2 linked regions of the Drosophila melanogaster genome follow. The protein of the gene in region 2 interacts with the protein of the main gene of each other region in a biochemical or structural test. Each region holds a gene or a part of one and is shown on either strand. Other genes may lie near its edges.

Region 1 (3,961 bases), 7.2 Mb from region 2:
TTAGAAACCCCTTTATATTAAAGCCGTGCTCGGTAAGCCATAGATTCTAGGGTTAATCATAACGAAATGTCGCAAATCGATCATTGAAATTTGTACGTTAATTGAAGATTATAAATCAAAATCTATCCTGGCTTGAGCACGCCCTAAGCTATTTAGTTTGTAAGTTAAGTTCAACGTCATGACTACCATCATTTCGTTAATAGCAAATGAAGAACAAGAAATTAAAACTCGCAGGAAATACAATACTCTGAGATGGAGCTACGAACAAATGCAGACAGATTTAAAATGAAGACTGTTTCAGTTCTGCCTTGCAAATTATTAGTCCCGAATTAGCAGTAATCGAAATCGTTGCTAAATCCTTACAAGTTTCATTAACAAATATACTCTATATACTTGGTTTTCTGTGATAAAAATAAACGCTGCGCTGCATTTGGGCAATGTTGCCTGTTTTTTTTGTCGCTGCCTACACGTTTCACTTCTGCATTTGCAATTCCGTCAACCCATTTCGCTAGAGATTAGGTAGCTACATAAGATAGGAGTGTACGCTAGCATTCGAAAACACACACAAACTTTATTGCTAATGATAATAATAAACTTAATTGATAAATGTTAATTTCTCGTATCTATATAAATGAAAATTTATGATGCCATAATTAAATTACGCGGGGAGCCCTAAACTAAAAATGTAATTAAAAGGAATTAACTGAAAATTAAACAAGAATGTGTTCACTGCGTGTGCGCCAGGATCCAAGGATGCACCATCACCTGATCCAGCGGTAGGCGGTGCTGCGGATTAAGGACCAGCAGCTTGGAAATGAGATGGGATGCTGCCTTGGAAATGTGCTCCGGCAGTTTGTAGTCCACCTTGAGAATCTTCTTGTAGGTCTCGTCATAGTTCTTCGAGTAGAAGGGAGCGTGGCCCACTAGCAGCTCAAAGCAGAGCACACCCAGGCTCCATAGATCCACGTTTTTCGTGTGCGGCTTGCCCTGAACCATTTCGGGTGGCAAGTAGTCGACAGTGCCGCACAGTGTCATGCGCATGGAGTTCGGCTCGTGCACGGACCAACCGAAGTCGGCGATCTTCAGGACGCCCTTGTGCCCGAGCAGCAAGTTCTCCGGCTTGATGTCCCTGTGTATGATGTCCCGCTCATGCAGATAGAGCAGCGCCGAGCACAACGCCTGAATATAGGTGGCCGACTGGCGTTCATCGAAACGTTTCATCGGCTGTGCCTGCAAGGCGTTGAAAAGCGTTCCTTGTGGCGCATACTCCAAGATCAGATATATGCGCACGTCGTCGTGAAAGTAGGCATACAGACGCAGGATATGCGGATGACGTAGGTGCGATTGTATCTCGATCTCACGACGCACCTGGTGCTCCACATTGGACTCGCCAATCTGGCGCTTAAAGAGCACTTTTAGGGCCACCACGAACTGGGATTCCTTTTCCCGCGCCAAATAAACGTTGCCAAACTTGCCCCGTCCCAGCAGGCGACCAATATCAAAGTTGTTGAGCTCCCAGGTCTTCTTCGGCTTCTGGGGCTGGGTTTCTGCAGAAAATTACAATTGAGTTTGGTAATTGCAAAAGATTACAGCTGAACCATTAACCCACCAGTCTTGGTTTTCTCTTTTTCAGCGGAGCTGCTGGCCGCACCCAGTTCCTTGGAGGATTCAGAGCTCGCAGCAGTGGGTTTCTGCTTGGAAAGTGACTCAGGCTTCTTGATAGGTGCTACTGGAGCCGGAGCAGCAAACTCTGATGTGGTCTTCTTCACGGACGGCACCATGGGTTTTTGGAAGTTGTTTCCTTCGGAGGAAGCTATGGAATTGGAGCCTCCTAGGCCTGGCTTCCTGATCAAAGCGCCAGAGGATCCTGGCAAGGGTTTGCTAGCTGGAGCCATATTCTCGCTGTTGGGCTGTATCACAATGGTACCAAATAAGAGTTTCAGCTGCACTCCAGAGATTTACCACTTAACGTACCTTCTTTCCCAATAGCAAGTTCTTTTGCATATTGTGCACTGCAGCTGATTTTTCTGGCATTCTGTGCGGAGCATTTTCCTTGGGACGCAGCACATGGTCAGACGGATGGGACATGACGGCACAGGCACTCGACAACTAACAGAACAGATTACAATTTTGGTCAGTTAACAATGAAAGCCGATATTGGGTAAAACATTCACGACTCCCGGGATCCTGTGAAAATAAAATGCCGTTCGTTTGAATTGTGAAGCGGGCGTGTGCGTGATGAGGCGAATGGCAAGTGTGCGATACTATCGGTTGGTTGAAGAATATCGTGACTTTGTAGTGTTAGAAAATGTTATATTGTGTATTATTTCAATTTGAAATCAAGAGAATTATTGAATAGTGCTCTAAACTTTGGCATTTATGTTATTTTAACCTTAATTTCTATCTCTATACAAATACATCTATCAAAGCGTCTTAATTTTGAAAATATGTTAATTCGTCGCACTTTATTTTGATTAACCGGACGATAGACTATCGGAAGATATTTATAAATATCGTTAATTGTGTACATCTCAATTCCAATATTTTTTATTTCTGGTGACTGTGAACCAGAACAGCTGTGATTTTATCGGGCATCTCTGAACATCAGGTGTTATTAACAAGCAAAGTTTTTATTGGAATTCGTCGTTTATGATATGATGCCGAATCATGGACACACCGGAGATCCACGTAAATATAAGCTCGCAGACTTGCCGCGTCTGCCTGGAGACGCACGAGACCAATCTGTATGTCCACGATGAAATCAAATACAACGACCTTAAGTTGGAGCTCTGGCAGTTGTTGGAGGCAGTTTCCAAATTGAAGGTAAAGAGCTACAATTTCAAGAAACTTCGAAAAATAAGTTCAATTATTTCCAGTGGACATGGACGGACCCAAATCTGCCTATGCATCTGTGTCAAAATTGCGCCCGCCGGCTGATCGGCGCCTATGAGTTCATCGTCGAAGTGGAAAACGCCCATGAAACTTTACAGAATCTCTTCGAGCAACAGGAAGTTGCTGCCAAGCCGGATGAAGTTCATGTGGATGTCGTGGAGCTTATAGACCAAGACGATGTGGTCAGTATGGCACAATACCTGTCCACGTCTTTTGCCGAACAGCACGTGGAAATGGAGGAGAAGTATGGAGACCAAGACTGTTCAGCTTTTACTTCAGATGTGGGCGAAGAGCCACTCTATGCGAGCGAGGATCGTGATGATGAGCCTGAAGACTCCTTTCAGCTGAAGCCTCGGCCAGATGAAATAGAAAACAGAGAATTGTCGCGACCTTCCCAGCTGGGCAGTCGTTTGAACCATTCGGCGAACTTCATCTACAAGTGCGCCGTCTGTCCGCGTGTCTTTGCCAAAAGTGAATCTCTGACTCGTCATTTTTCCCAAGCCCACAAACTGACAGCGGACGTGGCCGCCATGAAGCTGGCCAACGAGAGCTGCGGCACCGGTCTGCTAACCTGTGAGCACTGTCCGCGGACATTCAAGCGTCAGGACACACTCCGGCGACACATGCAGGCATTCCATCCCGACGCAATCGCATTGGAACCCGAAGAAACGACGGACAATTCCGCCCGAAAACGCATAGCTAAGCGGCGAGACTGTCCGCACTGTGGCCTGAGCTTTCCCGTATCTAGCCTTACCATCCACATTCGGCGACATACGGGCGATAATCCGTACAAGTGCGATCAATGCGAGAAGGCCTTTCCGCGCAGCCAAGATCTTAGTCTTCACATGCGTCAGCACACCGGCGAGCGTCCCAGTGAGTGCAAGATCTGCTCCAAGAAGTTTATTTCGCAGAACAAGCTGGCGCGACACATGCGATTGCACACGGGTCAAAGGCCGTACTCCTGCAAAATGTGCAGCAAGAGCTTTGTGCAGTCCAACGACCTTAAGATCCATATGCGGCGCCACACGGGCGAGCGACCATATCAGTGTGGAGTGTGCGGCGAGAGCTT
Region 2 (4,946 bases):
GCTGATGGCAGTGCATGGTCTCTCCATTGATTCTACTGCCACCGAAAATTGCTTCTCTTGATTAGGGTATTCTAGAGATTTTGCTGATTTTGTGGACAGTTCTGAAGAAGCCTCTTTGAGATTTAAGGCCTTTTCAGGCTCCTTAGGATTTTGTGCGTCCTTCACCTGAGCACTACTGACCGGGTGGTGCTTCTCTTTCTGAAATATATCTTTTGTATTTGTTTGCATTTCCTCTTGATGCTTAGCTAAGTCTTTCGTAGAGTCCAAGGCAGATAAGGTGAGCTTCGGCTCAAAGGATTGTGTACCAGACTCCTCAGACAGTACTGATTCTACCAATGATTCTGATTCCTTTGCATCACTATTGGGTTTAGAGTGTTTGGCTAACTGGTCTAGTTCAACCCTATTTTGCTCCTGATTTGGATGATAGTGCACAAAATTATTCTCTGGTTTTGACTGGGTTACGCTGAGAATATGCGTTTGCATAAGATGACGGTCTTCCGCATTCAAGACGTCCTTTAACATTTCCATGGTTTCGTTTAGGTCATCCACATCCATGGCTTCATAGCTGACGTTGTTGTGCTGGCTAACTGCCAAAGGATCGTTGAATTCAGCTCCCAGTGTAGAAACTGAGGTCATGGACAGCTGCTGCTCCAAAACATCATTAAGGGCACTTGAATATGCCTCTAACTCCGATCGATCTCCGGTGTAGCGCTCGCTATGAAGCGATAAACACTCGACAAAAACATCCGAATCCGAATGGTTGGATTTCAGTTGAGCTAAGGGAGGAATGAATGCGATATATTAATCAATTCGTTTTAATAATAATTAAATACATATAAGAAATTTATTTATATAATTAATACAACGAGAAATTTATACATAAACTTGGAAATGATTTATTTTCCCCAGCTGGCCCTTTCCTTTGTATAAATGACGGTATTGAAATAGAAGAAATTACTTCGCTCTTCTGGCGGATTTCGTATGGAATTCTTTTGTACATCAATATAATTTTTCTACCTTAAGAGATTTCTGGGTTACACAAACAAGATTTACTCACTATCCATATCGGTACTTAAAGGAGCTAGTTCCGGTATTTGCGTCTCATCGAACTCGGGAAGACCTCCAAACTTTGGAACGAGGTCGTCTTCTGGCTTAAGTCCACCGGGTACCGCCGTCTGATGCCCCAGAGCTGCCGCCATTGCCTTCTGTTGATCCATGCTCGTTGGCTTGGGACTGGGCTTCACCGCCAACGGACTCAGCTGCCAAACAAGAGATGCAAAATTTAAGAATATAGTTATCAAGATGTACATCGCGGTCATGATCCGAATAGTTTTAAACCGTGAACAACCGATGTTGGGAATGGGGTTTTAAAGATGATCACGAGTAGCAGCTGGTTGGTCATTTAATTAAGAATTTTTGACACACAAAAAGGCAAGAGCCCCACCACAGTTGGCATAAATAAATCGCATTTGGGATGACTTTTCCCGTATTTTCCCATTGCCAAGAAATTATACAAAGGCATAGGACCCCCATTTTTAGTTATTATCATATACAAAAGAATACATTATTATGAAATTATGATCTTCATTTGAAAAACTTCAATCTCATCTAATGTAGCCCATATGATACAGATGCCTTCAATTCACGCTTAAAAAAGACATACATTTCAAATGTTTGTCGCAGTCGGTCAGTCAACAAAAGCAAATGTCATTAATTAAAAAGCCAGCCAAGACGTAAAAATCGGGTATATGGCATATGTTTGGGAGGGTGGCAACGAAACGGATTGAGGAGCAAAAGGTGGGGAGATGGACGTGGAACTGGGTCGACGTCAGCTTTTGTGCAGTGCGAAATAAACATGCCGCGGATTCAATGCGGCCGGCCGCCATGTTTAATGTCTATTTAGGTTTGGGAGCATCGTTCTACACGCGGAATTTAATTAGAGCGCATTGCAGTATAATGGGTGCTGCAAGGTTAAAGTCAGAAGAATAAGGCGAGTGGTGACCGGCTTATGAGCGAGACACTAAAAATTAGGAAAATTCTGGCATTAGACCAATTTCTCCGTTTCGATTTTATTGATAAGTATTTTAATTTTAATTTTTTGACAATGGGCTCAAATTTGAGTGGTAATGGGAAGCAGATTCCTGCGGAATATTAGCCCAAGCTAATGGCTAGATACAACCCTATTTAAAATAATATTTTCTGCAACGCAATAAGGTGACAAAACCAAGTGGAACCGCATAAATACTATATATGCAATCGGCAAAACACATTGGGACATTACAAAAAAATTCCAATGTGTAGATTTATGCAGTTTGCCTAATACTAGAACACCCCCCCCCCCCCCCCCAGGGATGCACATAAAAAGATAGTCCTAATTCTTTCAGACATACCTCGCCACTCATGGCTTGCAAGTGCTCCATTTCGTTAGCACTCACTTGGTTCAGATTGAAGTTTATTTCGCTTAGAAATTTCTGTATTTCTTCTCTACTATCAGTGCTGTCCTCGGGGGCTGGGAGTGGGTTCGAGATGGATTCCATAAATAGTTCACAGTGCTTTCCCTCCAGTCGTTGCAGCTCCTCAGAGGCGGACTCTAGTAACGAGTCCAGGTGCGCGGATACAAGTGTAACTCCTCCCTTATCCCTTGGTGTAGAACATTCATCAGCGGGACTAGCAGCTTCTAGGGCTTCCATTGTCGTTGGCTGATTGGTGCTGATGCCAGTGGTGGCGATGCTTTTGGGTCTTTTGATGATATTCGCGAGGAAATCCATGCCGCTCTACGCACGATTAACTCCTGAGACGCGATACGGTTCACTTGGCTCCAAAAAATAATGGATCTATAGAGTTCCTTAGTTTGGTCTTTAGTGTTTTTTTTTTTTTTTTTTTTTTGTGGTTTTTGTTGTGACACAGATTTGGGCTCGCCTACTCGGTAAAATCTTTACTGTGATTTTCCGCTTCCATTATATTGGGTAATACCTCCGGGTTTCTCACGGCCCGTTGTCGCGTGCGGTTCTCACTGCCTCCCGATCATGTCTGCCTTTAAAATCAATTTAAAAATATTTTCGTTTTCAATTTGCTTTGCTCTGCTCAGCGTCACACATGCACAAATACTTAGAGCACGGCGAGAGTGCGGGGGATCGACAGACCGAGTGAGAGAACGAATAGTTTGAATGGCATCCACATAACGATCCGGATGTTTTCGTATGTCTTCATGTTTGGATCGTTTTAGCCCACATGGCGTTCTCCCCTTATCAGCACGGTCCTCTCTTCCATTTATAATACTGCCATATGTTTTCACATGTGAGACGGCGGCTAGAGACACCTTTGTATATTACACATTATGGATTTCATACCAACTTAAAACATTTATTTAGCACATCCTTAGTCTTGAAATAGTTCCGATAAGTTATACTCTGAACTTTTAAGCACAAATATTCCTAATGAAAATTAAATCAAAACAACAGAGAACTCAGTCGTTTTTCTCGACTACCCATTACTCAGCTTTTGGAGCTACGAGAAATATACCCTTCAAAGATTTTATTAGCATATAAATAATATAAGTCTTAGTGGCCAGATAGACTTGGCTGGTGATTCTGAAGATGAAATCTTATCCTTTCTATGGTTGGAATAGTTACCCTTTTCTATTTCGAGAAAATATATTGGGTTTTATGAAGCTAGAGGGCAACACACACTTGATCCATTTAAACACACTTCTCTTAGATATATGAAATACATTTTGGAAACGGTCGAGGTCGTGGGCAACATTTATAAAATAATAATGTCAAAAGAGCGGGCTCAAGTTGACAACCTTTTTGACTGAACTGCAGTGAAAAACTGAAAAACTATACAGGCCTCAGACGAAATTCAGACTGAAAGGCAGCAGTGAAAGTGCAAGACACCGCAAATAAGTCGAAACACTTAAAGAAGGGGATAAATAAATGGGATACGAGAATACGGCGACCGCCGACTGCTTATATTGTCTTCGCAAATCAACTGGAGGAACTTGGTGCAAATTCAACGCTTTGATGACAGAATTATTTTGCACATTTTCCATAGGATTTTTGGAGAACAGTCTTATTTGCAAAATGCTTTCTCTTAAAGATATACCAGTAGAGGCAAGTAGAGTGCTCTAAAATAATAAATATGTTGATTTGGCTCATCACATTGTTTCAAGTGTAGAGGCCTGGTGGGTCCCAGATGACATGCAATCCCACAGCCATTGTTGCGCATCATGGCGCACTATCTGCAAGCTCCACATTGCCCAACGGCTGACTTTGCATGTTTGGCGAGAAAATGTAAGCAATGAAACGGAATCCCACACGATGGGCCTTGACGAGGGGGGAATAGTTAGATGTTGGCTCTAGCGTTATCCAAGCAGCGCGCGACAGGTGACAAGATATCACACGGTTCCCGGCTCAGGGTGAATTTAAAACCAATGTAGTTTGTTGAAGCATATAAGCCTTGAGTGGAATCCAAATAGTGGCCACAAATGAGTATACTGATTTCAGAAAACACAATAAATACAATAGAATAGAATACAAGTGGAATTTGAACCTTAAGCTGCAATTCGAATATCCAATAGAACTCAGGAAAATAAAAGAAAACAAATATTGAGGAAGAGCCAACTATAAACTGATCTAAAAATAGGCAAATGTGGAAAGGGGTGGAAACCATCTGTAGATCCTTTATAATGAGCATTTTTGTTGGCAAAAGGGAAGATGGAGTTAAATGACATTTAGTCAAACTTAAATCCTCAGATGGGCGTTTTTTGGACTGTAAACCGCATTAGGCACTGACATTTTGCAGCCGTTAGCCGCCAACTGATTTATTGGCATAATAGCGATACACACTAGCATTTTTAAATGGAAAGTGCACCATCTGGAGAGTGGAAATTTCAAGAGACAAATATATAGAAGGAAGAATAAGTAACTTTTGATTTTCCCTTGGCA

Evidence for each region. The genes of interacting proteins can lie anywhere in the genome.
Region 1: of the proteins of tacc (region 2) and aurA, one has a biochemical effect on the other in vitro, tested with the Drosophila melanogaster proteins (one study listed by BioGRID).

Annotation. Positions count from the first base shown.
Region 1 is NT_033777.3:11,961,419-11,965,379, reverse strand, and holds aurA (aurora A), read right to left. Parts: upstream 2,257-3,961; 5' UTR 2,089-2,256; coding exon 1,975-2,088; intron 1,911-1,974; coding exon 1,610-1,910; intron 1,548-1,609; coding exon 727-1,547; 3' UTR 554-726; downstream 1-553. Other genes in the region: CG3281 (uncharacterized protein), read left to right, coding at 2,668-2,823, 2,877-3,961.
Region 2 is NT_033777.3:4,743,407-4,748,352, forward strand, and holds the start of tacc (transforming acidic coiled-coil protein), read right to left. Parts: upstream 3,009-4,946; 5' UTR 2,769-3,008; coding exon 2,391-2,768; intron 1,260-2,390; coding exon 1,058-1,259; intron 777-1,057; coding exon 1-776.